7 linked regions of the Neurospora crassa OR74A genome follow. The protein of the gene in region 5 purifies or fractionates together with the protein of the main gene of each other region. This does not show direct contact. Links are inferred from orthologs where the notes say so. Each region holds a gene or a part of one and is shown on either strand. Other genes may lie near its edges. The genes, in order: NCU00925, NCU07041, NCU06409, NCU03066, cpc-2, rbg-40 and NCU01612.

The links.
Region 1: the proteins of cpc-2 (region 5) and NCU00925 purify together in Saccharomyces cerevisiae (affinity purification with mass spectrometry; 3 studies listed by BioGRID). This does not show direct contact. The link is inferred for Neurospora crassa OR74A from reciprocal best matches to the Saccharomyces cerevisiae genes ASC1 and NOP7.
Region 2: the proteins of cpc-2 (region 5) and NCU07041 purify together in Saccharomyces cerevisiae (affinity purification with mass spectrometry; 4 studies listed by BioGRID). This does not show direct contact. The link is inferred for Neurospora crassa OR74A from reciprocal best matches to the Saccharomyces cerevisiae genes ASC1 and KRR1.
Region 3: the proteins of cpc-2 (region 5) and NCU06409 purify together in Saccharomyces cerevisiae (affinity purification with mass spectrometry; 3 studies listed by BioGRID). This does not show direct contact. The link is inferred for Neurospora crassa OR74A from reciprocal best matches to the Saccharomyces cerevisiae genes ASC1 and KRI1.
Region 4: the proteins of cpc-2 (region 5) and NCU03066 purify together in Saccharomyces cerevisiae (affinity purification with mass spectrometry; 3 studies listed by BioGRID). This does not show direct contact. The link is inferred for Neurospora crassa OR74A from reciprocal best matches to the Saccharomyces cerevisiae genes ASC1 and NUG1.
Region 6: the proteins of cpc-2 (region 5) and rbg-40 purify together in Saccharomyces cerevisiae (affinity purification with mass spectrometry; 4 studies listed by BioGRID). This does not show direct contact. The link is inferred for Neurospora crassa OR74A from reciprocal best matches to the Saccharomyces cerevisiae genes ASC1 and RIO2.
Region 7: the proteins of cpc-2 (region 5) and NCU01612 purify together in Saccharomyces cerevisiae (affinity purification with mass spectrometry; 5 studies listed by BioGRID). This does not show direct contact. The link is inferred for Neurospora crassa OR74A from reciprocal best matches to the Saccharomyces cerevisiae genes ASC1 and PRP43.

What each region holds. Positions count from the first base shown.
Region 1 is NC_026501.1:6,705,681-6,709,724, reverse strand, and holds NCU00925 (pescadillo), read left to right. Parts: upstream 1-1,313; 5' UTR 1,314-1,441; coding exon 1,442-3,433; 3' UTR 3,434-3,544; downstream 3,545-4,044. Other genes in the region: gpit-2 (glycosylphosphatidylinositol transamidase 2), read right to left, coding at 1-656, 739-892; NCU00926 (hypothetical protein), read left to right, coding at 3,912-4,044. UniProt on the Saccharomyces cerevisiae protein: Component of the NOP7 complex, which is required for maturation of the 25S and 5.8S ribosomal RNAs and formation of the 60S ribosome.
Region 2 is NC_026504.1:4,998,693-5,002,193, reverse strand, and holds NCU07041 (90S preribosome/SSU processome component KRR1), read right to left. Parts: upstream 2,275-3,501; 5' UTR 2,096-2,274; coding exon 1,841-2,095; intron 1,783-1,840; coding exon 1,433-1,782; intron 1,366-1,432; coding exon 1,008-1,365; 3' UTR 501-1,007; downstream 1-500. Other genes in the region: NCU07042 (alcohol dehydrogenase), read right to left, coding at 1-163, 295-353. UniProt on the Saccharomyces cerevisiae protein: Required for 40S ribosome biogenesis. Involved in nucleolar processing of pre-18S ribosomal RNA and ribosome assembly. Essential for vegetative growth.
Region 3 is NC_026503.1:1,301,258-1,305,352, forward strand, and holds NCU06409 (ribosome biogenesis protein Kri1), read right to left. Parts: upstream 2,801-4,095; 5' UTR 2,692-2,800; coding exon 520-2,691; 3' UTR 324-519; downstream 1-323. Other genes in the region: NCU06410 (GTP-binding protein YPT52), read left to right, coding at 3,367-3,441, 3,510-3,573, 3,634-4,095. UniProt on the Saccharomyces cerevisiae protein: Required for 40S ribosome biogenesis. Involved in nucleolar processing of pre-18S ribosomal RNA.
Region 4 is NC_026501.1:4,414,055-4,417,992, forward strand, and holds NCU03066 (GTP-binding protein), read right to left. Parts: upstream 2,671-3,938; 5' UTR 2,566-2,670; coding exon 2,538-2,565; intron 2,467-2,537; coding exon 842-2,466; 3' UTR 501-841; downstream 1-500. Other genes in the region: NCU03065 (mitotic control protein dis3), read left to right, coding at 1-325; NCU03067 (hypothetical protein), read right to left, coding at 3,689-3,938. UniProt on the Saccharomyces cerevisiae protein: GTPase required for 60S ribosomal subunit export to the cytoplasm.
Region 5 is NC_026507.1:3,907,037-3,911,278, reverse strand, and holds the start of cpc-2 (guanine nucleotide-binding protein subunit beta-like protein), read right to left. Parts: upstream 2,801-4,242; 5' UTR 2,605-2,800; coding exon 2,563-2,604; intron 2,237-2,562; coding exon 2,199-2,236; intron 2,127-2,198; coding exon 2,000-2,126; intron 1,923-1,999; coding exon 1,605-1,922; intron 1,392-1,604; coding exon 966-1,391; 3' UTR 480-965; intron 409-479; 3' UTR 99-408; coding exon of another isoform or gene 75-98; 3' UTR 1-74. Other genes in the region: NCU05811 (hypothetical protein), read left to right, coding at 75-98; NCU05809 (hypothetical protein), read right to left, coding at 3,545-4,242. UniProt on the Saccharomyces cerevisiae protein: Component of the ribosome, a large ribonucleoprotein complex responsible for the synthesis of proteins in the cell.
Region 6 is NC_026504.1:2,085,409-2,088,807, reverse strand, and holds rbg-40 (serine/threonine-protein kinase RIO2), read left to right. Parts: upstream 1-1,203; 5' UTR 1,204-1,367; coding exon 1,368-2,651; 3' UTR 2,652-2,899; downstream 2,900-3,399. Other genes in the region: rpn-1 (26S proteasome regulatory subunit rpn1), read right to left, coding at 1-185, 252-322, 395-524; NCU07723 (norsolorinic acid reductase), read right to left, coding at 2,942-3,399. UniProt on the Saccharomyces cerevisiae protein: Required for the final endonucleolytic cleavage of 20S pre-rRNA at site D in the cytoplasm, converting it into the mature 18S rRNA. Involved in normal export of the pre-40S particles from the nucleus to the cytoplasm.
Region 7 is NC_026502.1:2,956,763-2,960,991, reverse strand, and holds the start of NCU01612 (pre-mRNA splicing factor ATP-dependent RNA helicase PRP43), read right to left. Parts: upstream 2,801-4,229; 5' UTR 2,577-2,800; coding exon 378-2,576; intron 312-377; coding exon 186-311; 3' UTR 1-185. Other genes in the region: pp-2 (protein arginine N-methyltransferase HSL7), read left to right, coding at 3,590-3,724, 3,808-4,229. UniProt on the Saccharomyces cerevisiae protein: Pre-mRNA processing factor involved in disassembly of spliceosomes after the release of mature mRNA.

The sequences.
Region 1 (4,044 bases), on a different chromosome or scaffold from region 5:
GCCGATATTGGGGGCCAGGTCAGACAGTGTAAGTTGCACACCATAGGTGGAACTAAGGAACTCCCATGAGCCGGTCAGGAAGAACGACATTTGGAAAAGCACTGCCAGAGCACCAAACGCATCCATAACCATGGTCGCGGTAAACTTGATCCACGCATTGGGCGCTCCGGTAGCGGGCAACTTCTGCCTGTCATAGCAAAGAAGAATGAGAGGCGGGAGGAGGAGTAGCGGATACATGGAGAGGTATGATGCGAAGGCTAGGGCGACCATGGCGTGAAAGGGTCTGCCGGAGATGGCATTGGCGACGGCGTGGAGAATGGCACAGGTCGTGAAGACGGTGGTCGAACGCCCAATGCATGTCGCGATGGTGAAGGGGTTGAACAGGAAGAGCGCGGCAATGATGGCACCACTCCAACGCTTGTCACGGCGCGGGGAGGTGAAGCGCGCAGACGAGCTGGCCTCGCCAGACTCTGCAATCCTTAAAAGAGCATGGGCGCTCAGAATATCGATAGCGATGTAGAGAAGGTACGTGAAGATGGGAAACGCCGCGAAGCTCGGGAGCAAGTTGAAGATGGGCAGCAAGAGGGGCGCCTGGTGGTAGACGCCGCCATCGTAAGGAGAGACGTTATGGTTATACAGGAAGAGGCCTTCTTGGACTAGATTTTGGTAGTTAGCAAACCTGTGTTCCTCGAGACGATGCGACGAATGCCGAAGAGAAAAACAAAAGCTACAACATACGGCGCTTGAAGCTTGTTACTGGCGTTGAGATCTCGACACGGCCAGTCAGGAGGTCTGGAAGACCGGGGAACAGAGTAAAGAGGGCAAGTCGCAGGACGGCAGCACCGGCGTATAAGCCAGCCGTCCTCCTCAACGTTACCTTGCCGCCATTCATTGTTCAATTCGCCATACGACGAGGTGGGAGCTGTGATGTCGAACTTGTCCCAGGGTCAAGTTACTTCTAACGACATGCCCGTCCAGTTGCGCTATACAGGAGTCGCGCCCAGCACGTTAGGTCGCCTTGTCAATCGCTGTCCCCGCCAAAGCAGACCGACAGCTGGCCCGGCCTCCACAGCTGGCGGGTCCCTGTGGGACAAGGGGTTCTGGAATCCAATCCAGACGGGAGCGGGAACCTATCTGGGCCAGACGGGCCCAGTATGTATTCTAGTAGCCTCATCTGTGCCTATCTGATGCCTCCCGTCTTTCCATCCGCTACGTTATCTTATCTTTGATCAGCTCAGGCGGTGGGAAGTGGCATAAAAAGTTCAGGACCGCGAGGGTCAGAAAAAAAGTTGATTGCAAGTGCACAGAGCGCCCCCACCTACAATTGGCTTCGATAACGATCGAGTCTGCAGACTGAAGAGATCCATCCTTGGTCCTCTTCTCCTTCTCTCACTCTTCCACCTACACCCAACAACCACAACCACCACCACCACACCCCAAAATGCCAAAAATCAAGAAGAAGGGCCAGGCCGGCGCGGCCAAGAACTACATCACCCGCACACAGGCTGTGAAGAAGCTGCAGCTTAGCCTTCCCGACTTCCGCAAGCTTTGCATCTGGAAGGGTATCTACCCGCGCGAGCCTCGTAACAAGAAGAAGGTTTCCAAGTCGGCCACTGCCTCGACCACCTTCTACTACACCAAGGACATTCAGTACCTCCTCCACGAGCCCCTTCTTCAAAAGTTCCGTGACCAGAAGGTGCTCGAGAAGAAGATCTCCCGTGCTCTTGGCAGAGGTGATGTTTCGGATGCCGCCCGCTTCGAGCGCCATGCTGCCCGCCCCGAGGCCACTGGCAAGCCCAGGTACACTCTCAACCACGTCATCCGTGAGCGCTACCCGACTTTCAACGACGCGCTCCGCGATCTCGATGACTGCTTGTCCATGCTCTTCCTCTTCGCCAACCTCCCTTCCACGAGCGCGGTTCCCGCCAAGATGATCGCCCGCTGCGAGCGTCTCTGCCTCGAATTCCAACACTACCTTATTGTTTCCCACAGCCTGCGCAAGTCGTTCCTGTCGATCAAGGGTATCTACTACCAGGCCAACATCCAGGGCGAGGATATTCTCTGGCTCGTTCCCTACAAGTTCAACCAGAGGATCGTCGGCGATGTCGATTTCCGCATTATGGGCACTTTCGTCGAGTTCTACATGACTCTTCTTGGATTCGTCAACTACCGACTTTACAGCTCGATCGGCCTCAAGTATCCTCCCAAGTTCGACCAGCTCAAGGACGAGAACGGTGCTGAGCTCGGCGCTTTCTCTCTGGAGGGTGTCAACATGGCCACCCAGGGCGAGACCAAGGCCGTCACAAACGGGGAGGAACAACAGCAGGGTCCTGACCCCAAGGTCCAGGCTGAGGTTGACAAGATTATCAAGCAACTGAAGGAGGACGAGTCCAAGAGCGACGAGACTGCCGAGGAAGATGCCGAGGCCGACGATGAGGAGAAGCCCACAGACTCCATCGACAAGTTCGAGCCAGTTGCCCCTGGTGGTGATGTTCTTCCTCAGCCGGCGTACAGCAGCAGTGACCCTTCGCAGCTGTTCGCCAACTTCACATTCTACCTCTCCCGTGAGACCCCCCGCCAGCCTCTCGAGTTCATTCTTCGTGCCTTTGGCTGCAAGAGGATAGGCTGGGATTCCGTCCTCGGCGAGGGTGCCTTCACAAATGACGAGTCGGATCCCTCCATCACCCATCACATCATTGACAGGCCAGTCGTACAAGCCGCTACCAACGAGGATGGCGATGGCGAGGACAATCAGACGGCCCAGAAGGTCGGACCCAACCAGAGATACCCCGGCAGGATATATGTCCAGCCCCAATGGGTATGGGACTGCGTCAACGACGAGGAACTCAAGAGCCCTGAGCTCTATGCTCCTGGCGCCGCTCTCCCTCCCCATCTTAGCCCCTTCGTCAAGGCCGCCCCTGGCCAGTACGATCCTACTCTGCCCCTTGAGGCTCAGCAAACCGAGGCCGAGGCTATTGAAGCCGACCTCGAGGATGCCGAGAAGGGTAATGCTGAGGATGGTTCCGATGTCGAAAACGACATGGATGTTGATGAGGCCGAGGACGATGAAGAAGAGGAGGAGGGTGACGAGGAGGATGCCGAGGAGGCCGAGGAGGAGGATGCTGAGGAAGATGAGGAGGAGTCCAAGACCCTCCAGCGTCAGCTTGAGCTAGAAGCCGAGCTCCAAGGCAAGAAGGTGCAGAATACAAAGGTAGACTCCAAGACCAAAGCCAAGCTAGAACAGCGCAAGGCTCTTGAAAAGAAGGCACGCGAGGAGGCGGAGGACCTGGAGCGCGCCAAGGGCATGCTGAGCAAGAAGAAGCGCAAGCTGTTTGAGCAGATGCAGTATACCAACAACAAGAAGAGCGCTCAGGACGAGAAGCTCCGCGCCAAGAGGAGAAAGCTGGAGAAGGAAAAGGCGCAGAAGGCGTAAGGTTAAAACACTGGCAAGGCGTAATTTTTTAGCACTTTATGTTTTGAAATGGGATACCAAAGGCTCATTTTTCTCTTTTCTTTTTGTGTAATCGACAAGTTTTGAATCCTACTCGTCGTCCTGAACTGATGCAAATGTGAATAATCGTGACATGAAAACGAGCGCCCACGAGGCTTTCGTCTGAGGGTTAGGGGTCGCTACGAACCAAACCGTAACGCCCAAGAGAAGTTGGAACGAACCGAAAATAGGACCAACGAAAGGTGAGAGTACAAAGTAAAAGAATTGAGTGAGGAGTCAGAGGTTCATCAGTTTCTCCATCCTTGTTGCTGTGGTACTACTACTGGGATGCTTTCGTACGTCAGTGCGGTTCTTCGACCTTCAATCTCTTGTCACTCCCGTCCTTAGTGATTGATCACCAGAATTTGCACTCAACAACCCTGCCAACGCGGGAAGAGCACCCACTAAACTGGGCCATGCAATGTCTTCACACTTGAATCAAGAAGATTCCGGCGACGAGGATTGGGATAAGGACACTGAAGAGATTAATTCCATCGCATCAGATGAACTGCACGAAACCCGCCCCAATCGGTGGAATGGGGCCCCCTCCACAT
Region 2 (3,501 bases), on a different chromosome or scaffold from region 5:
GACGACGCCGTAGCCGTCAGCGAGAAAAGGTTGCTCGAAGGAGATGCCGGGGTAGAGGTGTTGGCGGATGAAGAGGTCGCGGTGGTTGAGGGCGCAGGACCGGAGGCGGATGAGAAGCTCGCCGGGGCCGGGGGTTGGTTTGGGGATGGTGTTTAGTTGGAGGCTAGATGGGGAGGCCGAGGGTTAGTCATGCGGGGAGGATGGTGGGAGTGAGTTGGTTGGTGGTGGTGATGGGGATATGTATGGGGGAGAAGAAAGGTGAGGTTATGTGAAGAGGAAGAACAAAACACTTACGGGTAGTAAACCTGGCCGGGTTTACCGTCAATTTTCTTGACAGTGAGTTGGAGAGGCATCTTGGCGTTGTGTTTATGTGTGGGTTGTGTTTTACCGAGGCCAATCCACTGGATGAGTGTTGAAGTATGTTCAAGAAGTGAAAGAAGGAAAGGGTCATCAAGTTTAAATCAGTTGCGACATCGGCCAGATTTGTTATCAATTGGACCCGGGGAAAGGGGTGTTGTCACTCTGTCATTGAGCCTCTCCCACCAACCCTGCCACCGACCAATGGCCGCCCCCACTCTCCCCCGCATTCGTTGCCGGATCCCGCTCCAATGATGCAACTGCCTCGGCCCGCCTTGTGATGCCCCTGGTTTGCGATCCGCCGGGGTGGAGCAGCCCGGTTGTGGTGCGGGTCTGCCACATCGGGCTTTATTCGCGATCGTCATCGGGTTTTGTTTCGGCCTTGGGTTTCGAAATGTCGACAGATTCAAGAACCGACATCTTTTCTGGACAAGTCATTGTTTTTGATAACACATTTGACAAAGGCTTTTGGTGAAATTTAGCAACCAGATCACCCTTGGATCCCGAAGCAGGAGAAATCTCAATCGTCTGCTGAAGTATGGGTATCATGGGATTCCAGGATCCTTTCTCTTTCTCTTCATCATCGTCTTCCTCAACTCCATTTCCACCTCCACCGCCCCCATATTTTGGATTGCACCACTTGTACCAGCTTAGTCGCTCGTCTTCCTCTTCTTGGCCTTCTTGTCCGTCAACTCCTCGGGCGGCACATACTCCTTCTCGCGCTCGCGCTTCTTCTCCTCCTTCTTCTGCTTGGCCTTCTCTGCGCGCTCCTGCTCCGCCACCCGCTGCTTGGCCTCCTTGCCGAGAAAGTATTCGCCGGACTCGATCTGGAGATCCACCTTGCTCTTCTCGGGCGCAGGGGGGAAGGGTGTATAGTTCTTCTTGGTCTTGTCGTTGACGACGTGGGGGACGCGGCGCTTGGAAAGCGTGCGCTTCTTGAAGTTGGGGAGGTAACGAGACCAGTCTTCGTGGGCAAGAGCGGGGTCCTTTGCGAGTTCGCGTTTGATCCTGTTTTCTCATGTCAGTTATTGTTGTTGTGGGGCGTCGCAAGTGGGCGTGCAGGCGCAAAACTTACATCAACTCCTTAATCATGTAAATTGGGTGAACGTTGTTCATGGTGTCCTCAACAACCCTCCTCACCTCCTTCAGACCCTTGAAAGGACCCATTACCGACACTGTGTTTCCGTGCACGAGGATATATGTTTGTGTGAGAAGCTCGAGAGCCTTGAGCGTTGTGCCGTTCTGTCCGAGAATTCTTTGGCGCCTCTTAACAAAACGCTCCTTGTTCCGTACCATGCTGCGGATCTTGATGATGTCGCAGGCCATGCCATCTTCGAGAATTTTGATCGCTTGTGGGGCTGGTACTGAACGGGCGAGCAACTTGATGAGATCGCGGGCGTTAAGAATAGCTGCGGGGTCATATGTCTGGACGTGAGTTAGCAAAGAGTGGTGACTATAAAGACAACAAACGCATCCGCCGTACCTTTCTTGTCGTCTTCACTGTCATGGAACCCTCCACCAAATCGAGAACTGCGGTGATGCCGTGCTTGTCGAGGGCCTTGGTGATGAGTGGCCACGAGTCTCGTAGATAACGCTCGCGGTACTTGGGGAATAGGGTCATAAACGAAGACTCCTCGAGGAAGGGGCCGGAGGATTCGTCCTTGGTGAAAGGGTCGACCTTCCACTTGTCGATGTCGTCTGTATCCCACGGCTTCTCCTTCTTGTGTGTGGACGGCATTTTGGCTGTAAATGTGTTTCTCGGGGCTCTTGTGGGCTGTTGATGTTTATGAATAATCAGAGGTCTCGATTGAGGTTGTGCGACAGGTCACGATATCAGGGCGAGCGACTTGGGTCTGGTGGTTGGATTTGATAAATGGCTTGTTGAAGGGATTGTATGGCAAGATGGCCAGCCGAATCGCGCTGCACGGATGGAAATTTTTGGAACACAAGCCTGCCGCAGCTGGTAAGAGTGGGGGCGCGGCGCTTCTTGCAGGTTGAGTTCCGGCTGCAGAAGCGCGACAGGATCAGCGGCCAGCTGGCAGATGCAGGGGCAGCTCCTTATCTGATAACTGGAACTTCCACTTGCATGGAAGTTGTAACTTTTGGAACCTGGTATTTTCATTGAGGACGACAACAGCATAAAAAAGGAGCAAATATAAGAAAACGACCGGATTCAGTTATTTCAAATCTCAGCGAGGTGGAAGTTTGGTTCTGTCATTACTGTCCTGCTGTACTTCGCAACGAGTCTATCCAAGTACTCTTGGCCATCTGCTCCTTTCAGCTGTTTTTTCCCCCCAGGTTGTAGATGTTATCTTATCTACATACTAGCTTATCATGACAGGGGCTTGCACGGCACGGCACGGAACATCAACAAGAAATCACACGTGCTGGCGACATCAAAAGGTCTTGATATGCCATGGTGGGATTGGCGACAAGAGCGTTTTGACTTGCTGGGGTCTCAACGTGATTTGTATACTCCCAGCAGGGCCATTGTTGACACCTGTACCGTCGGTAAAATCTCACCAAGGTGTTCAAGATACGCTGAAGTAATTGATGGTGAAGCATCGAATCCCGCCCGAGTCAAAGTTGACGAACTTAACAGCAGCAATTTTCAGGTTCGCCGTGATAAAGTCGCGGTAAGGCTGGATAACGTTCGTCGTTGGTTTTCCAGCTGAAGAACCAAGAAATCATCCCAGGTTCGCCCAATGAGAACCTGCAAAGATCTGACGACCCTGGCGCGCTGTGGTCATCATGATCGGGCAAGCACAATCTGCACTGTGGTACGCCACGGATTACAGCATTCCGTGCACGAGGTTTCGAAATCCATCAACGTTTTCCGTCAGAAAGGGGTAGGTTCGGTTTTGTGTCGCCAAGAATCAGAACTCCTTCCGTCCCTGCAACATCTTCCCCTTCTTTTTCTTCTTCGGCCCCGCGACATTCTACACTACTCCCTTCGATTTCCCCTTCGTATCCCTGGCGTCGGTCTTTATCCCGAACCCCAAGACCTTCAGGTATCGCTGCTTCTTGTGACCTTTGCCAAGATCGACGGCAATTGTCGTTGTCTATCCTTGAGAAGAAGAGAAAAGGAAAAGAAACAAATCGAATTCATCATAAGCACAGACGTCATTTCTGGGACGTTGACCT
Region 3 (4,095 bases), on a different chromosome or scaffold from region 5:
CCTGATTATTCTGCCAAAGTGGCCAACAATATGAGAAGAGGCTGGAGTTGGTTGTAGTGGCCAACAGAGTAACAACTGGAAGACAGGGCCAGATGTTAGGAAGGTCGAAAGTGCACAAGAAAGAGAAAAAAAAAAAAAAAAAGAGGATAGAAGAGAGGAAAGGGTGGCGATGACGGATTTTAGTAACAGGACGGGCGCTCCGCCTCCGGGGGGAAGGGGAGAGGGGGGAGAAGGGGAGTGTCTCTTCTCTTCAGGAAAGCATGAAGACAACTTGAACACCATCTGAGTGTCATGCAGAGTAACTGAGTAGGTAGCGAAGACGACGATGAACTCCGAGATGAGAGGAAGCATCGAGGATTGGTATAGCTAATTCTAACTTTGTATGATTTCTCCGTAACACCGCGATGCAATACGCCTTCTAAAATAGACTAAACGATACAAAACCCTAAACAGAACAAACAAACGTGACCGCCACTGCTTGTCCAACTATACTGACAACCGAAGTGGCAACGAAGCACTCTAGGCCTCAGCCTTCTCACTGTCCTTCTTGTTCTTGCTTCTCTTCCTCTTCTTTTTCCTCTCTCCCTCGATGATATTATCCGCTCCCCGTTCACCAGCAGCAATCTCCTTCTTCTCCTCCTTCTTCTCTTCCTTCTTCTCCTCTTTCTTCTTCTCGCCACTCTTCTTGTCCTTGTTCTCACCCCTCTTCTTATGCTTAATCGCACCCTCATCCTTCTTGCCAAGGGGCGTACCATCCTCGTCCAGCGCCTCGAACCCAAAGGTAGGACCAGTCGCTTCGAACTCCTTGCCAAACGTCTCGCGACGCCACTGCCTGAGACGGGCCTTCTTGCCAAGCTTCTTGCGTTCCTTGCGCTTCTTCTCGGCGTCGCGGAAAGTAGCCAGCTTCTTGAGGCCGGCGAACTCGTTGAGCGCGGCGTCCGAGGGCGCCAACAAGATATCGCGCGCCGTCATGCCGAACGAGACGGGCGAAGTCTCGCGGTAGCGGAACGGGAACAGGTTCTCCTTGTACTTCTTGTCCTTGGGGGCGGAAAGCGCGCGAGGAGTGTCGAGTTCCATCTTGGTGTCGACCAAAGCTTCAAGCTTGGCTAGTTCCGCCTTGGCTGCCCGCTTGGCGGCTTGCTTCTCCTTCTTGATGTCGGCGGTGGTCTTGCGCTTCTTGGAGGGACGGCCTTCATCTTCATCGGCGGAGAGGTCGGAGCCGAGGTCGGCGTCCTCGTCTTCGGCTTTTTGGTCGTCGCCGTTGGGCTTGGGGAGGTCTAGATCGGAAAGGACAACATCGGGAGCGTCGTCGAAGTCGGGGATGATGTCCTTGATGTCGATATCGTCGTCCCACTCGGGCTTCTTGGGCAGCTTCTTCTTCTTCTTCTTGGATTTGCCGTCCTCGTTGTCCTCGTCGTCCTCCTCGTCGCTGCCGGACACGTCGCCTTCTCCCTCGGCGTAGTACTCCTCGCCAAACTGCTTGCGCATCTCCTCTTCCCACCGGTCGTTGTCCCAGGCGTCCTCGAGGAACTTCATCCACTCCTCGTCGGACAGCTCCTTGCCGGTGAGACCGGCAGCCTTCTTGATCTTGGATAGCTTCTCGGCCGCCTCGTCAATCTTGAGACGGCGCAGACGAGCACGCTCCTCCTCGCGCTGCTTCTTCTCGGCCTCCTTGCGCTCCTTCTCGAGCTGTCTCTGCTTCTTTCTGCCCGTGAGCTCCTCCTTTCTGACGGACTTGGCGTTGGCCAGGTTACGCGAGTACGTCTTGAGCAACTCGTTGCTCTTGTTGGGGTCCTCGAACCGCATGTTGTAGGCGTGCTCGAACTCCTCGGCCATCTCGGGGAAGTTGTCCTCACCCTCGTCCGACTCGAAAGCCTCCCAGCGCGAGCCGTCGGCGGGCGCCCAGGCCTTGGACTGCATGAATTTGGAAAGGAACTCCTCGGGGTTCTTGTCAGCGTTCTTGACGTCGAGCTCGTTAAGATCGATCGCCTTGGCGCGCGACGGGTGAACGCCGTTCTCGGTAGGCGCCTCCTCCTTCTTGACGGGCTTGATGAAGGCGTCGTCGTCGCTCCACTCCTCGTCTTCGCCGACAGCGGCATTGATCTCAGACAGAATGTTCTGCTTCAGGTTGGCTTGTTCCTCGGCATAGGTCTTGGGCTTGGGCGCGTCATCTTCGTCGGCACCGATGTCACCGGCCATGTACCTCTCGCGGTGGTAGTCGCGCAGGGTCATGGGCTTCTCCTTCTTCTCCTTGACGGGCTGGCCGTCGGCGTCAATTGGCGTGTAGAAAACGGCCTCCTTGTCGTAGATGCGGGGGTCCCTCTTCTTGATAGCTTCTAGAGTGGCGTTGATTTCGGCGTCGAGGTCCTCGGTGACAAGGAAGCCCTCATCGTCTTCGGTCTCGTCTTCGGAAGAGTCCTCTTCGTCCTCGTCTTCGCCTAGCCCACCTTCCTTCTTGGACTTGAACTTTTCCTCGAGACGGTGGAGTTCCTCGCGCTTCTTGTTGTGTTCAAAACGGCGGGCGTACTCCTCATTGATCTTCAAGTCGGCAGCGGTACCGAGGGTGGCACCGCCGTCCTGCTCGTCTTCGCTGGAGGCATCATCGTCGAACAGACCCTTTCTAGGCACAATGGGATCGGTATTGGCGCCTGTGACTCTGGCTTTCGCCGCTTTTGACTTTGGGCGAGGCATCTTGAGGTGGGCTAGATTTGAAGATGCTAGGGCGAAGGGGTGGAAAGTCAATCCTGGCGCATAAAGGATGGAAGACTTTCGTTGCGACTTTGACGCCCCCAAATTTTCGAAGTGAACTTTTTAGTGGGGACCTTTTCGAAGTCCAGTCCCCGGGCTACAGCTGGCGGTACGTACTTGTAGTCCAATTTGCCTGCCACGAGATTGCGCACGGTTCACAAAGGCATACATATGTGGCTATGAGTCTTGGCATGGAGGGGAAGTTGGAGTCCACTCACAGCGCAAGCGAGGGGGGACATCGAGGACATGCGACGCCTGCCCGTGGCCCGACCGAATGCCTGCTGGATCCCGGCGAGCCTGGCTTTCCGACTGGAAGGGAACTAACTGAATGAACAAGCTCCATCCATCCATTTACTCTCATTGCTGCCGTCTACCTATCACGTCACACCTCACTCCGATTCCCAACCCATCAACGATCCATCTTCAGACATCTTTTGTCTTCCAACAGGCAGCCACCCAACGTCCTCCCTTCCACAACTGCACTGCTCTGTCGCTGTCGCATTATCAAAGATAGCCGTTCTTGCTATTGTCCCTTGCTGTAGTTGCTCGCTGCCGCAAGCCCCGCCGTTTCCACAACCCATCCACCCAGATTTGTAGCAACAATACACTTCAACGACAATGGCCGATACGAACGCGCCCAAGCCGAGCAGCAGCGTCAAGCTGGTGCTTCTAGGTGAAGCTGCTGTCGGAAAGGTGCGCAGTCTTCTGCTCCAAAACCACCATGCTCGAGAAACACATGCCTAACACAAATCGTTCCACAGTCGTCGCTCGTCCTCCGATTCGTCAACAATGACTTTCAAGAGAACAAGGAGCCCACGATAGGAGGTTAGTTCCTGAAGTCATGACGACTTTCTTTGCACCAGTTTAGCTGACACTTTTTTGCAGCCGCCTTCCTAACCCAGAAGTGCAACCTGCCCACGAGGACGATCAAGTTCGAGATTTGGGATACAGCAGGCCAGGAGCGCTTCGCCTCTCTAGCGCCCATGTACTACCGCAACGCCCAAGCCGCCCTTGTCGTTTACGACCTGACGAAACCTACTTCACTCATCAAGGCCAAGCACTGGGTCGCCGAGCTCCAGCGACAAGCGTCTCCCGGCATCGTTATCGCGCTCGTGGGCAACAAGTTGGATCTGACCAGCGACTCGGCCGGCTCTGCCGAGGCTTCCGGAGGTGGCGACGACAATGCGGAGGATTCGGGCGACGCACGCAAGATCTCGACGGACGAGGCCAAGGCATACGCCGAGGAGGAGGGTCTCTTGTTCTTTGAGACTTCGGCCAAGACCGGACATAACGTTACTGAGGTTTTCACAGCCATTGCAAACGCCATCCCCGAGACGTCGTTGAAGA
Region 4 (3,938 bases), on a different chromosome or scaffold from region 5:
CGGCCGTGCCAGCATTGCTTATTATGTCGGCCAGGCCCTGCGCGGCAAGGCTACGGAGGAGGACGGCTTCGTCATGAAGATCTTTAGCAATGGCTTTGTTGTGCTCGTGCCGAAGTTCGGTATCGAGAGCTTGATCCGTCTGCGTGACCTGGCGGAGCCGGAGCCGGCGGCGACGTATGATGCCGAGACGTACACGCTGACCACATCGGGAAGCAGGGAGGTTAAGGTGGAGTTGTTCCAGAAGGTCAGGGTGAGGGTGACGGATCAGAAGGATGAGACGACGGGGAAGAGGGGGGTGAAGATGGAGCTTGTTAGTACTTATTAGATTTGTTGAAGATGGATGCTTCAGTATTTGAGAAGGGGTACAGGTTAAGAATACCCTTGATGGACTTTTGTAGAGCAATACATTGTTTTTTTACTTTCGGCTATCCAAACGTTCATGAAGTCATTTTCGGAATGTCGTTGCTTTCGAATTCGATAATAGGCCATTGAAAACACAGCTCGGTATGATGAACGATGCAGGGAATGTCAGAAAGAATTTAAAGCTTCACTTCAAAAGCCTTTGTCATAGAGGTGTTTATGATCAGGCTATATTTGACCTATTTTCTACCAGCCGGCCTGCCTGTCTCCCTTTTTGCTCTTTCCCACCTTGACGCCAAAACGCCTCTTCACAAAGATGTGTCCAGCTCCGGGGTTCGTTGTATTGTGTTTCTGACATGCAAAACAACAAAATACTCATTACGACATTGACCACCGACGCAACCGAAAACAAAAAAGAAACCAAAAAGTGAAATGCTCAACAACAACTGCCAACAGACAAAGATAGGGGGAATAAATCGCTCTACTGCATCTCAACATCCGGAGTCGCCGTCTCCTCCTCATCTCCCCAAAGACCATCCAGCTTGAACTCCTTGGCCCACTCGGTCACGATCACCTTCTGATCCGCTAGGGGCTCATCAGCGGTAGCAGACTTGCCGCCAGCAGGAGCAGGAGCAGTGGCGGTACCAGCCACAGCCAAGACGGGAGCATCGATCCAGCCCTGGATACGACCGTCGCGCCAGTCGGTCACGACAGTCATGGCAGCGGCTTGGATATTGGGGATACCGCCCCTGCCCAGCCTGCCGCGCTTGCGGGCAACCTGGACAAGGAAGTCCATGGTGGGGTCGCCGTTGTTGGGGTCGCGCAGCAAGGGGGGAAGGTCGTACACCTTCATCATCTTGTCCATCAACTCGGGGGTGGCCGACAGGCGCTTGAGCAGCAGCGTCACGGCGGGGACCGGGTCCTCGATCTGCTTGGGCGGGATGGCATTAAGGAGCACCAGGTGGGCGTGCGCCTCGGTCTGGTTCTTGGGGGTGAAGGTCGAGTTGCCGGCAGTGGAAGGGAACACGATACCGGGCGAGTCGAGCAGCGTCAGCTTGCTGTCGATCTTGACCTGGCGGATCGAGGTGGTGACGCCGGCCTCGGCGCCGGCCGGGCAGGCGTTGTGCTGGCCGCGGCTGTTGCTGAGGCGGGACAGGAGGGCGTTGATGACGGACGACTTGCCGACGTTAGGGTAGCCGATTACGCCAACCTGGATGGAGCGCTTGAGGTTGCGCGAGACGGCGTACGACTTGAGCGCACGGAAGAGAGCCGCGCTGGTGCTTTGGACGGTAATGTCGCGGTGCTGGAAGGTGTGGGCGTTGGGGGCAGGGTTGGAGGCACGCAGCGGCAGCGTGGGGAAGTAGCGGCGCAGGTGGGTGAGCCAGCCGCGGAGGACCGGGGGAGGGATCAGATCGACCTTGTTGAGGATGAGGATCAGGCGCTTACCACCGTGGGCGGCGGCCATGACGGCGCGCTCGACGTCCCTCGAGCGGGTGCCTTCGGGATCACGGGCGTCGAGGACGTAAAGAATGACATCAGCCTGCTCAACAACCTGCTTGAAGACCTTGTCGAAAGCCTTGCGCGAGGAGGCGCCGCCGGGAACCTCAATAACGCCGGACTGTGTGGGTTCGCCATCGGTCTCGTCGTCGGACTCGTCGTCATCGTCCATCTCGTCGCCGCTCTGGAGCTCGCGGTCGTACTGCTCGGCAGCTTTCCTGGCGCTGGCCACCAGGGCAGCGAGGGGGTTCGACTCATCGTCAACGTCGCTACCATCCTCCTCCATAGCATCGTCGTCGTCCATCAGATCGTCATCGAACGCCTCGACATCGCCCTCGGCGCCCGTCTTGGTGTCCTGGCCAGTCTTGGCCGCCTTGGCCATCTCACGACGCTTCTGCTCCTGTTCCTTTCTCCGAATGCGGTCCTCCTCGATCTGGTTCAACAGCTTCTCCTTGTAGGGGAAAAGGTTCGGGATACCCGGGTCCTTCTTGAGCTTGGAGCGCCATTCTGGGTTCTTCTTGGCGAGCTTTCTGTCCTTGCGTTGCTTCGCGGCCGAGGCCTTCTGGATCTTGTGCCTGAGGCGTACGGGTGTACGCTTCGATTTCGGCTCTGTTTTTAAGTAACGTCAGTCAATGTGTTGATTGGAAGAATATGTTGTTCTCAGCGAAAGATTGACTGACTTTTGGGCTTTGTTATCGATCCGGCCATTTTGAAGATATGCTGCTCCTAATGTCAAAAAAGGAGGTACAGGAGGATAATTGAGGATGGGACAGCAAGGTAAAGCAGCAAAATCCGGTCGCTACTATGGGCGGCTGTACTGATTGATGGTCGTCAAAAAATTAGAGTGGAGGAACGGTTTGTGCCACTGCTGACCGCCTAGATAAGCTCTGATAAAGCAGGGATCCGCCGTGTTGAACTCCACCAAGATTCCAGAAGTCCCCGCTTCGAATGTGGAGATGCGCGTGCCTGTAATTTACAGTCGTATTGTATGTTTGATTTGTGTTTAGCCAAACGTGGAATGTAAATTATATTGATACACTTATGGTGTGGTTGCGCTTGTTCTCTATATGTATATGAAGAATTATTGCTACCGACTCTTTACGCAAGTGGTTTGCATTGCCTTTCCAGAAAGAGGACTTTAGGTCGGTCCGTCTCAACAATCAAACACTTGTCTGCCATGACGATCCTCAAATCCATCGAACCGTCCGTCAAGGTGCAGTTCTGGATGCCATCAGTTCTGTCGTCAAGCACTTGTTTATACCACACATGGACGCTGTACGCTTTTTTTGAGTTTTTGGATCATCATGGATTCAACAGAACACCGTGCCCCGCTCGCATAATTGATCGTCGCTTAAGCTGACAATGGCATTGCACTATGCAATGATTATCGGCAGAGCAGACACTCCGGACATTGGGTCATCTTGGCCTACGTAGACAAAGTCCTGAAGCAAAATAGCATGCTAGCATCGAATACGCATCAAGAAAGGGGGTTGTGGTGGGGAGGTAACATATCACCCAGAAACCACGCTTATCACGCTTCACATGAGGGAGTATCTTCAGAAACTCTTCCGTAGGTATCCCCCATTTAGCGTAGAGAAAGACGGAAGAGACCGATTGTTTCCCAAGTTATCGCACCCTTCAATCGCTGTTCTCTTGTAAATGCATCCAGGACTTGCGAGTCAATTGTATCCTTGATCTGATGGGCCCTTTCAACGCGTTCAAGGAGCTAATTTATCGCTAATTACAACAACGACTCATCCTAACGCTGCTGGGACAGTTGCTAGTTGACCGTATCGAGGTTTCCGATCGACCGGCACGCGAAGTGCTCCGCCTAAAACTCCTTTGCTGTTTCATACTGAACCCGAAGCACACGCTTTGCATCATCCATCAGGTCCATGTGCTGATAGATAACACCAAGCTCGCCACTGGCTTCGATGCGCAGCTCACTTGATGCCGACATGGCCATTGCTTGCTCGAGCAGGTCTTTTGCCTGCTCATACTTGCCAAGGCGTCTGTGTGTACCACCGAGTTTGGTAAAAGCCAACTGTTTGTAACGGTCACCGCTCAGAATGGCACCGGAA
Region 5 (4,242 bases):
CCAGGATCATTCTTGGGTTCCTGGTCCTGTTGATGGAGTCCAGCGCCCGCTTACCGATGGAGGATTTATTAAAGAGGGTTTCGAGGGTAGAAGGGTAGAAGGGTGTAGAAGAGTATGGCCAGTTGAGGCCGGGAATGGAAATGGAAGAGTACCTAAGAAAGAAACGAGATGGGGAAAGATGGAGTTGGGGATGGCTTCGGTACTCTAGGGAGGAAAGAGGATGAGATTGGTGGAAAGGGAAATGGAAAGGGGAATGGGTGGTGTGAAGGGAGATTTAGCATATGTAGGGTTGGGGAGATGAAGGGGAATGGATGATAATGAAAATGAGGTTGTGTTGGCTAGGAGATAGAAGGGTAGTTGTGGGTATTGTACGCGTACGTCAAGGAGACTTTCGAGGTGGTCGAGTAGCTAGGAATGTCGACGAGGACGACTTGAGTGAGCGGGATGTGAACGAGTGAAATGGATATCAGGAAGCTTACAACTTAGAGGCGCTGAGGATGGGGACAACATTGATACCAATTCACCACATCACACAACATAACCCCGAATGCATCACGCGTCAATCACCACACATCACACATCACCGCAAACGGACACATCAAATGGTTCATCTTGGCCTTCATTATCATTCATTGCCATGTGGTGGACCAAAAATACGCTGCACGTAGAGGCTCTTTCGCAGTGACATTAGAATGCAACTTGTTCCCATAGCTCCCAGTTGTCCTTTCATTTTGATATGTTTTAAAATGAAAGAAAGCAAAGACGATACAAAGCAGTTCCGAGAATACGCCTTTACCATGGAATCCTTCGAAATTGCCCTGATGCAGCAGCAGCGGCGGCAGCAGCAGCCGCACGACGCTTGGAGCGGCGTCGTCCTTCACGGACAACTGCCGACAACCTGCGCGCAGCCAGCCTCCCGTCCACAACGTCCCCTAGCCAACCAGTCCCGGCTCCGACGTCTCCGCTTAAGCGCGGGACATGACACCCCAGGCACGGATGATGTTGTCGGTGTAACCGGCGAAGAGGGTCTGGCCATCGGCGGACCAGGCGAGGGAGACGCACTCGGGCTCGCGGGACTTCTTGCCGATGTTCTGGAACTCGGGCTTGAGCTCGTCGACCTTGCTCTTCTTCTCGAGGTCGAAGATGATGATGCTGCTGGAGGTGGCAGCGCAGAGCCAGTAGCGGTTGGGGGAGAAGACAAGGGCGTGGATCTCGTCGTTGGCGTTGAGAGAGTAGAGGTGCTTGCTCTCGTTGAGGTCCCAGAGCATGGTGGTACCGTCCTTGCCACCGGAGGCGCAGAGGGAGCCATCGGGGGAGATGGTGACGGCGTTGATGTAGCCGGTGTGACCGATGTGGTCAGTCTGGAGCTTGCAGGACGAGAGCTCCCAAACCTGATTGAGTTGAGACTGTTAGTCGCAAATCCTCTCGAAATCTCATGCAGTTTCTGACAAGGAGTTTGTGATTTCCGAGAAAATCAGTGCGTGTGATGTTGGTCTCATGGCCCGAGGGCTCTGAAGTAGCAAATACTATTTTGAGAAAAATATGCATGCATCATGGTGTCGGGTTTTTTTTGGGGGGGGAGTAAAGCAGGTTATACAACATACCTTGACGAGCTTGTCCCAGCCGGAGGAGACAATGACGGGGTTCTGGGGGTTGGGGCTGAAGCGGACGCAGGAAACCCACTCGGTGTGGCCCTTCTCGGTGATGGTGAACTTGCAGTCACCGAGGGTGTTCCACAGCTTGATGGAGCGATCGCGGGAACCGGAGACGATCTGGCGGTTGTCGGCGGAGAAAGAGACGGAGAGAACGTCGTTGGTGTGGCCGACGAAACGGCGGGTGGTGGTGCCGGTGGAAAGCTCCCAGAGACGGAGGGTCTTGTCCCACGAGGCAGAGAGGGCGTAGGCACCGTCGGAAGAGATCACCTGCCGCGCCAATCAGTCAAACTGCCCGCGATTCCAAAATATCCACACAATCCTCCAATGTCGAGTATTTAACGTACACAGTCGGAGACGATGTGAGAGTGGCCGTGGAGACGGCGCTTGGGGTAGCCGTACGAGGTCTCATCGCGGGTGAGGTTCCAGATGATGAGGGACTTGTCTCTGCTACCAGAAAGGAGCATGTTGGGGCTAATTGCGAGAGCATTTGTAAGTTCATGATCTTCGCGCGAGTATTATGCGGTTCATTCGGTGGTTTCGTACTTCTCCAAAGAGGTGGCCAAGCTGGTGACCCAGCCATTCTGTTCAAGATATTGTGGTCAGTTTTCTGCATTTCCGCCTTGCTTGCTTTCCCACCACATCTCTCTCTCTTTCTTTCTTTCGAATCGCTGTGCTTGCTGTCTGCTCTGCTGCCATGTCCCCATCATCGTCGCCGTCCAACTTGCTTCTCGCCGTTCGCAGTACCCGTTTCAGTTTGCGCCCATCGCGCTCCTCCTTAGCCCACCCACCAGCGCAGACGTTGACAATAACAACAACATGGCAGCAACCGCAGCAGCAGCAGCAGCAGCAGCAGCAACATCAGCGAAACGGGGGCGAACCGAGCGGGCAAGAAATAAAACAAACTTACGTGGCCCTCCAGGGTGCCCTTGAGGATGAGTTGCTCAGCCATCTTGCAGTTCCTTTCTGGTTGATCAGGGGAGGATCAATGGGAGAATGGGGGAGCTTTTTCACGGTGCCTCTGCGCGGGTCAGAAATCGTCAAAGGCACAATGCGGAGACAGGCGACGAGATCGAGGAATTCCGGAAATTTTTGTGCGGCGGAAAATAGGGTCGGCCGACACAGCCAACTGCGGTCGCTGGGCGGTGGGGTCGGCTGCCGTCTTGGCGCTGTCGCCTCGAAATGGCGGGCTCACACTGTCTTTTCACTCGCTTTTGGCGGGGGCACCGACTGCAGCCCAGGCCTGCCAGCCCGGAACTGCGGTGTCGTCACTTCAAGTGCACTGTGCCATTGCCGGCCCGGCAAAGGCTGGCAGCGTTCAAGTATACAAGTACTTAGTTACTTGAGAGCTTCACTACCCGTCTGTCACCGGTCGATGACAAACAAATTCACCAAGGTTCAGATATGACTTCACTCGAAATACATCTGGAGCAATAGACGTGTGTTCGGATCGAAATTCGTTAATGGAAGAACAGTACATCAAGTTCTACACAATGATGTATTATCGGAACCACTTAACATCCGCTGTATAGACCATTGTCCGTCTATCTTTATCTCTGTATGGGTATCTTGTATAAACTCAAGAATGACAACAAATGCTAATGCTCTGAATGATGCGCCAACCCCATAACTCCCCAAGCCTTGTGAATCAAGCAACAATAGCTTTGTGCCATCTTCATAGCCGTAATTCTGTGAACATGACACTGGTCGTGACCGATGACTTCTCCTTTCTTTTCACATGCCATTCTGTCCGGCCTCCATGTACCTTCTCGCAAAACCATGCCATAACCAAAGCCAACCGTGCGCTCATAGTAGCCTCGTCATCCTTGAACTAGATGACCCCTTCCCTCGTAAGCATCTTCATCACCACTGCCCTGCGGTCACCTCACGCCTTACTTCCCCGTCAACTCTCCCGCCAACTTCCTCACCCCCGGCCTAGCCACCTCCTTCCGATAATACCCCTTCTCCGCATTCACAATCATGCTGTGGTCCGCAATCTCCACCCGGCCCTGCTGACTATGCATAGACGCGGGCGCCACCTCCCTGCCTTTCGCCTTGGTGTCGTCCTCCACCAGCTCGCGCATCGCCGCCTCCCACAGCGCGTACCGCTCCCTGCGAGACGGATCCCGCTGTGCCGTGGCCGACACGTCCTTTTGCTTCGCGATCTTGCTGGCGCGCATGAGACGGCGCAGCGCCTGCTCTCCGGCCTTGGCTTCCTTAGCGGCGGCTTCGCGGATCTTCTTAGGATCGCCGCGGGGGATCTCGTCGGGTGCCAGTGGTCGTTGGGGAATCTTGGTGGGTAACTGGGATTGCTGGGCTGCTACTGCTGCTGTTGCTGCTGCTGCCTGGGATTCGGCCATCGTTTGGGTCTGGGTCATGGTGACGGTGGCTTGTGTGTCGGTCATGATGCTGTGCTGGGCGGTCGTGGCGGCCTCGACGCTTTCGGGGGTGTACTTGTAGGTGTGCACGCTGGGGAAGGAAGGGAATGAGCTCGGGATGTAATTCTTGGCTGCCTTGTCTGCGGCGCCGTCGAGTTCGGGATCGAGGACGGGAAGGTCGGTAGGGATGGCGGCGTCTAGAGGGAGATCCT
Region 6 (3,399 bases), on a different chromosome or scaffold from region 5:
AGAACATCTGCGAGAGATGACTTATCATCGCCAGCGGGCCACTCGTCGTAGAGTTTCGTCATGGTTTCATAATGCGGGCGCAGGAACTTGAGCGGCTTCGGTACCGCCGTCATGGAGGATGTGGATGTCTTGATAGAGTTCTTCATGGCCTCGAGGGCCGGCTTGTAGAGGGTCGCATCGGATTCCTGAAGACATTGTACTGTTAGAGAAGCCGGTCTTCAGCCTGTATCACGTCATTGCGAAGCACCAACCGTTAGCCGCTCAACGAGCATCTCAAGCTCGCTCTTGAGCTGCTGATCCTCTTCACTGAGTTCCTCGGAAGCTAACGCAAAGCGCTGTCAGCAGAAGCCCGGCGCCGATACCTCAAGTCGGTCGGAGTGGCCGAGAAACCCACCATTCTGTTCCTCCTCCTTCTTTCCGTTTGCGGGGGTCTTTCCATCGACATCTTGGTGCTTCTTCTCGTCATCGACGGCCTTTCCCTTGCCCTTATCGGCCGTCTTGGACAGGTCGCTTTCTTGCGCCATGATTACTGGCCGTGATGGTTGTAGGTGGGAGGATTCGCGGAGCCGATGGGTCCAGTTGGAGGGGAAACCAAGGTCGGTTGGGCTGGCCGGGGTAGGTGGACGCGGCGGTGGCGTTCGCTGCTGCAAGAAATGTTCAAGTTTTGTCACCGAGTTTGCTTGAGCGACAGGAACTTGAGCTCCAGTCGTGAGCAGAATGTCAAAATCAAAAGTGGATGAGCTGGCTGCGGTTGTTTGGAGGTTGTTATGTTGTTCAGGTGACGGTTTTGGAGGTTGGAGCTTTTGCAGGTTCGCCCAGAAGCACCTCAGTTGCTGAAAGCCAGCAAAGGTCAGTGGCAGTTACGGTACTAACGCCAGGGAGCTCCGATGGTGGTTACGCGACTCGCTTGCCGCCTGAAGCTCCCCCGTCTGGCTGAGAACGCCCCTGCGATCCAATGCTGCCCGCCTCAAGTGGGTCTGGAAGCCTCGGTGGGGACGAGGCGTCATCAGAGCCTGGAAGATACAAATTCCGCTCCCCCCAAGCTTCTGATAAGATAAGCTACTGGCCTGGACCTGGCGCTTGACCGGGCAGGCACAGCTCAGCGAATGGAGCCCACGGCCAGCCCTATCTTATCGGGAAGATGTTATCGCAACCGTGCATTTGGAATTTGGGGGACGCCCACTTTCCATTCTGGACATCAGCTTTGCGCTTCACCCACCTTGACTTTGACTTTGACGAGAGCGTCGTAGACAGCAACCTAATAGCTCTCTTGGATCAATACAACATCAGAAAATCTCTCACAGCAATTAGGCCGACAATCACCTGAGGGGAAAAAACAAAAAACATCCAAAAAGAAACACACAATCATGTTTTTGGACACCAGAGTTTTACGCCATCTCACGGCAGAAGACTGGAGAGTCTTGACTGCCGTTGAGATGGGCAGCAAGAACCACGAGCTCGTCCCGACCCCTCTGATCGAGAGAATTGCCCGTCTCAAGGGCGGTGCCAGTGGTGTTCACAAGAGCATAGCGACCCTTGCCAAGTCTGGCCTCATCGGACGCATGAAGGAGGCCAAGTACGACGGCTACCGACTGACCTACGGCGGTCTTGACTATCTGGCCCTACACACCCACTCCTCGAAAGATGTCGTCTACAGCGTTGGCAGTCGTGTGGGTGTTGGCAAGGAATCCGACATCATGATCGTAGCCGACAAGACCGGCAAGCAGAAGATTCTCAAGATCCATCGCCTAGGCCGCATTTCCTTCCGTACCGTCAAGTCCAACCGCGACTACTTGCGCAACCGGCAAGGCGGCTCATGGATGTATCTCTCGCGGCTTGCGGCCATGAAGGAATATGCCTTCATGCAGGCTCTCCAAGAAGAAGGCTTTCCCGTTCCCGAACCGATTTCCCAGTCCCGACACACTATCGTCATGAGCCTGGTCGAGTCCCTACCACTTAGACAGGTCTCCTCGGTTCCAGACCCCGCGAGCCTCTACGCTGAGCTTATCGACCTCATCCTTCGATTGGCCAAGCACGGGCTCATCCATGGTGATTTCAACGAGTTCAACATTTTGATCAAAGAGGAGCGGACCACCAAGTACACGATCGAGGACGGCGAGGAGAAGGAGACGGAGACGGTAACCCTTGTCCCAGTCATTATCGACTTCCCACAAATGGTGTCTATGGACCACGTAAACGCCGAGATGTACTTTGACCGCGATGTCGAATGCATCAAGAGGTTCTTCAAGAAGCGCTTCCACTTTGTGCCCACACAACCCGGTCCTTTCTTCAAGGATGCTAAGAAGACGGTTGGCAAGGATGGAGCTAAGCGGTTGGACGCCACTGTGGAGGCTTCAGGATTTACCAAGAAGATGCTCAAGGAACTGGAGAAGGCTATTCAGGAACAACAGGCGAAGATTGATGCGGGTGAGGCTGTGGAGGAAGAAGAACTCGACGAGGACGAGGACGAGGATGAGGAGGATGATAGTGGAAGCGATACAGATGATGAGGAAGATGAGGAAGATCAACAAGAGGAAGAGGAACACGCCGTGTTCGAGATTCCGGCAAATGTTGGAAGGCCTTTGTCAGATGCAGAGAAGGGGCTGGAAAAGTTATCACTTGGCGGCAAGGGCGGCAAGCGAAGGGCTTGAAGCACATCGAGAGGAGAAAAGAAACGCGTTTCATGTCAGCTTTGAGATACCCCCAAATCCTATGCATTTCTATCAAGCAAATTTGTACTAAGACGTGCCAAGCAGGTTTTTAAGACTTTACGCTTATCAGTTTTTTTGCAACCCATATGTTGATTATGACACCCTCCGCAAAAGCAGTTTGACACACGTCACAATCGAATAAAGCCCAACTTGAATCACATTGAAACGTACTAATACTTTAGCTTCTGCTCCCACCTAACCTTCAAAGACCTCTGGCGGCGATGTCGGCTCTACTGACCATTTTCCGCCGCTGGCACGATAGGCTTCGGCACCGGGACATAATCATATGTGCCCGCCATACCCATCAACCAAACCTGACTGGGGTGCGCAGGAACCTTCTCTCCATACAAGAATGAGCTAGGAAACCCAATATCGAACGGAACCGCGCTCTCAATCTCGTCGATATCCTTGTCCGACAACGCCAGCGTGAGCGCCTCAATGTTACCCTTCAGGTGCTCGACCGACCGGCCGCCAACAATCGGGAACACGTACGGAGCCTTGTGCATCACGTACGCCAGGGCGACGGAGGTGATGGCTGTGTTCTTACGCTGCGCAATCTTCTCCAGAGCCCGGCTGATTTTGATCTGCTCCTCGGTCGCCTTGATCTTGCGGCCTTCGTTGGCTTGCTGCTGGCGCTGCTCCTCCGATTTGAAGCTGCCGCCCCCGAGGGCCCCCCAGGGCGCGAGCC
Region 7 (4,229 bases), on a different chromosome or scaffold from region 5:
TTGCTGTTCCCGGCGGAAGAGGTCGCACCGGTGCGGGCGATGTTCTCCGTAACGTGTACGAGCGGCGGGCGACTCGGCTTCTCTTTCTCGGTATCCTTGGTCTCTTCACAACGACCACTACCATCAGCTACCACAGCAGCAGCGGAAGAAGACTTGTTCTTTCTCTTCCTGTCTCTACAACGCCACTAACGCGCGCTGCCGCTGCCCTTGATGGCTTGCCTCCGCTTGACCTTGTCGGTGATACGAGTGAGCGCCGACTTTATCTCGCCCTTCTCAAAGGTATCGAGGTCGTAGTAGACGGGGGCAATTTCCTGGTTTACATAGGTCAGTTTCAAGATGCCATTGACAAAGGGAATTCATAAAAGGGGAATACGTACAAGAAGCCACTCAGGACGAATGTTGGTCACTGTCCTGACGTACTGCTTGGTTGTGAGAACGAACTCGTTATAGACGACCCAGTCGTATGGGCTCGTCACCGACGTACTCGGGTGGATCATGACGAGCTGGTCGTCCTTGACCGTCTTGTACACCTTGCTGTTGCTGCTCTCGCGCATGGCCACCTGCATGAAGAAGCCAGCCAGGAGCGCGCGGCGGATGTTGGTGTAGTAGTTCTTGTCCTGGAACGGCGTGCTGACCAGGCTAATGTCGTGCGTCTCCATAATACGCTTGAGCTGAGCCCGGACGTTATCGGCGCTCGACAGGTGACGGTATGAGAGGAAGTGCTCGTGGCACCAGCGCTTCATGTCGTCGCCATTGGTCTCGGCACCCTTGAAGGCGTGGTAGGCGTTCAGCAGCGTCAGGTGGTCGCCGTCGGGGTGGGCGAACTGCATCTTCATCTCGTCGGCCCGCTTACGCGCGTTGTTGGGGCGTACCCATATCGAAGGGACGGAGAGGAGGGACACAATGGAAAGGATCTCGTTGGAGCAGTAGAACTCGGGCGACGAAATAAGCATGACGGCGAGGGCGGGGTCAAGCGGGAACTCGGAAGCCAAACCACCGAGACGCGTAAGCTCACCATCGTCATCTAAGCAGGCGAGGTAGTTAAGCTCCTCCAGGGCGCGCATCATGGTCTCGGGCGCAGGAGGGTCCATGAGATCAAAGTGTACCAAATCCTCAACACCAAGCTTCTTCAACTCCAGAACAGTGTTGGCCAGGTTGGATCGGAGAATTTCAGGATAGGTTTGCTCAATAAGTTCCTTCTTGAAAGCCTTCTCGGTGTAAAGACGGAAGCATTTACCGGGCCGTGTACGACCAGCACGACCAGCTCTTTGCTGAGCAGAGGCCTTCGAGATAGGAGAAACCAACAAAGACTCAACACGAGAGCGGGGGTTGTAAATCTTTTGCTTGCTGAAACCGGGGTCGACGACGTAGACGATACCATCGATTGTCAAGGACGTCTCGGCAATATTGGTCGAGACAATGACCTTGCGACCAGGCCTGCCACCCTTGCGCAGGGGCTCGGGGGCCTTTTCGAAAATGCGCTGTTGGTGCGCAGGAGGGAGAGTGCCGTAAAGAGGGTAAACCTTCATGGGGCCAGCATCCGACTCGCGAATCATGTCGTCCACCTCCAAGCTGATTCTTCGGCAAGCATCCTCAATCTCCTCCTCACCAGTAAGGAACAGCAAGATGTCTCCCTCGGGTTCAGTGGCGTGGATCTGGAGGACGGTCCGTACGGCGGCCTCGAGGTAGTCACGCTCGGGCTCGGGGGTATAGAAGATCTCGACGGGATGGGTACGACCGGGGACGGCGAGCAATGGGGCGTTGTAGAAGTAGGACTGGAACTTTTGGGCATCGAGCGTGGCAGACATGACAATGATCTTGAGGTCTGACCTGCGGGCGGCGATCTGCTTGAGCAGGGCCATGAGGATATCGGTCGCGAGGGTACGTTCGTGGGCTTCATCGAGAATGATGCAGCTGTAGCGGGACATGTCGTGGTCGTGCATGGACTCGCGCAGGAGCTGACCATCCGTCATGTACTTGAGCATGGTCTTGGGGCCGGTCCGGTTCTCGAAACGAATGCTGTAACCGACTTCCTGGCCCAGTTCGACATCCAACTCGTTCGCGACACGCTGGGCAACCGACATGGCCGCCACCCTTCGGGGCTGGGTACAGGCGATGAGCTTGCCGTTCGTGTGGGGGAGCTCGTCGTAGAGGACGTATTGGGGGATCTGGGTGGTCTTTCCGGAACCCGTCTCACCGACGAAGACGAGGATCTGGGTGTTGTGGTACATGTCGAGGAACTCCTGGCGCTGCTTGTGGACGGGGAGGTCGCGCCTCACTTTGAGGATGTCGAAGTATCTCTGCGAGTGCGGCTGGCCGGTCCACGGGTTGAGCTCCGAGTCCTCGGCCTGGGCGGCCTGGGCGGCGGTGGTCTTGTGCCTCTCGAAGGCGTCGAGGGGCGATTCGAAGTCGCCATTGGTGCCGTTGCCGTTGCCGTCCTCGTTGAGATGGGCGAGGTAGGGGTTGTACTTTTCGGGGGCAGCATCGCCATTCTCGGCACGCTTGATGCGCTTTGAGTCCTGGTCGTTGCCGTCCATGTTGGATCTCTTGACGCCTTTGTCGTCGTGGCTGGCCATTGTGGTACCGACCGAGGGCAGCTGGCCTTTTTTTTATATCTTGTTTCTTCGAGCGAGAGGGGTGGGTACTAGGAAACAAAACAAGAAGACCGAACTGAAGGGGAAGAAGAGAAGCGGCGATAGGCAAAACAGAAGGCGGAGTGTCGATTATGGCACCTCCAGTGGCAGTGATGAACAACAGCGAAACAGAGTGGAGGGGAGGGCAGTGGGCAGGCATGCGAGGCTACAACTTTTTTTTTGTTTGATGTCAGGGCGATAGGTCAGACCTGGCCGGCAGTTCCTGGCCGCAGCGACTCTCGACCAATGAGGGGTCACAGTGATAAGCTTCAGTGGAGTAAGGAGTGTCTTTGGCAAGCGCTGATAAGCAAATCACTGTAGCATTGGACAGGACCCTGATGGGCACTAAGACGGTAATTTTCTACACTGTTCTGTAACTGTCAGGTTCACTCAGTTTGTTCCTGCTGCACGTGAAGAAGAAAAAAAAAAGAAAGAAAAAAAGAGGCAAAATGCAGGCAGGTTGATGAAGTTTGTGACATTGTGACATTGTGACATTGTGACTTTTGGCGCATTGGGTTTGTGTGCAATCTTTCTTTCACTCAGCTATTTCATTTTCCATGTACCTATCCATCTATACCCCTCCATACCTGTTTATTTCGAGTTGGTGACCGTTGAGGTTGGACTTTTTCCTCTGGTGCTTCTTCCCTGGAAATATCCACTGCCATGGGGTCAGTCCGTTTTGGGAAAAATAAAAAAAAAGTACCATCCAACTTTGATTTCAGTCTTTACAATTTTCCCTGTGATTGGGTCCGATACCTCATCAAAGTACAGCCTATACATTCTTCTACTGTATACAGGCCCCAGAGACTAGTATAGCTACCTTCTCCGTACCCCTCCCGCTGCTGTTCGTACCACCTCAAACCTAACCTGGACCATCGCGGGGTTATTTACTTCTAGTCTCGTCCACTCTCTTTCACTCACTCGGATTCACATAAAAGTCCAGTCACTCACTCATCATGTCTTCAAATCGCGGGTTTAACCCCGAGTCCGAGTCTTTCGAGCAACGGCCGCCCTTTTACATTGGCCAGCATGATGTCCAACGACATGAGTCGCCCACTGACAATCAGTACGGCCAGATCTTGGACAGTGGTGTAAGTCTTTCCTTACATTAAAGTAGGAAGAGAAAGAAGAACGAGCAACAGCATAAATTCTAACACACATGAGATGAGAATAGTTCAACTTTGTCACCACCCCCATCACCAACGAGCACTTTCACCAGCGCGTGATCGACTTGTACAAGAGCCATCTCCAAGAACGGGAACAGTGGGTCACCGAACGGGGACTCACTGACGCCCAAAAGGCCAACCCGTCGCTGCCACTTCCTACGGTTCCTACCTTGACTGACGACGATACATCCCTGTTTCCCAGCAGCTATGTTGGCTCGCTCATCGCCTATGCCAGCCCATGGATCGACCTCTGCTCTGCCGATCCCATCATCTCAGACATCTCCCGTCAGGTGCTGAACCTCGAGCTCGCCTACGCCAACTTCTGCGGCTCCAGGACCATCATTATCCCCGGCCCAAGACAGGACGATGGCCGTGCCGTTGCTCAGTATGCACGTGCCATTCAGGAGGCTCAGGAAGTCGGTGGTCGTGT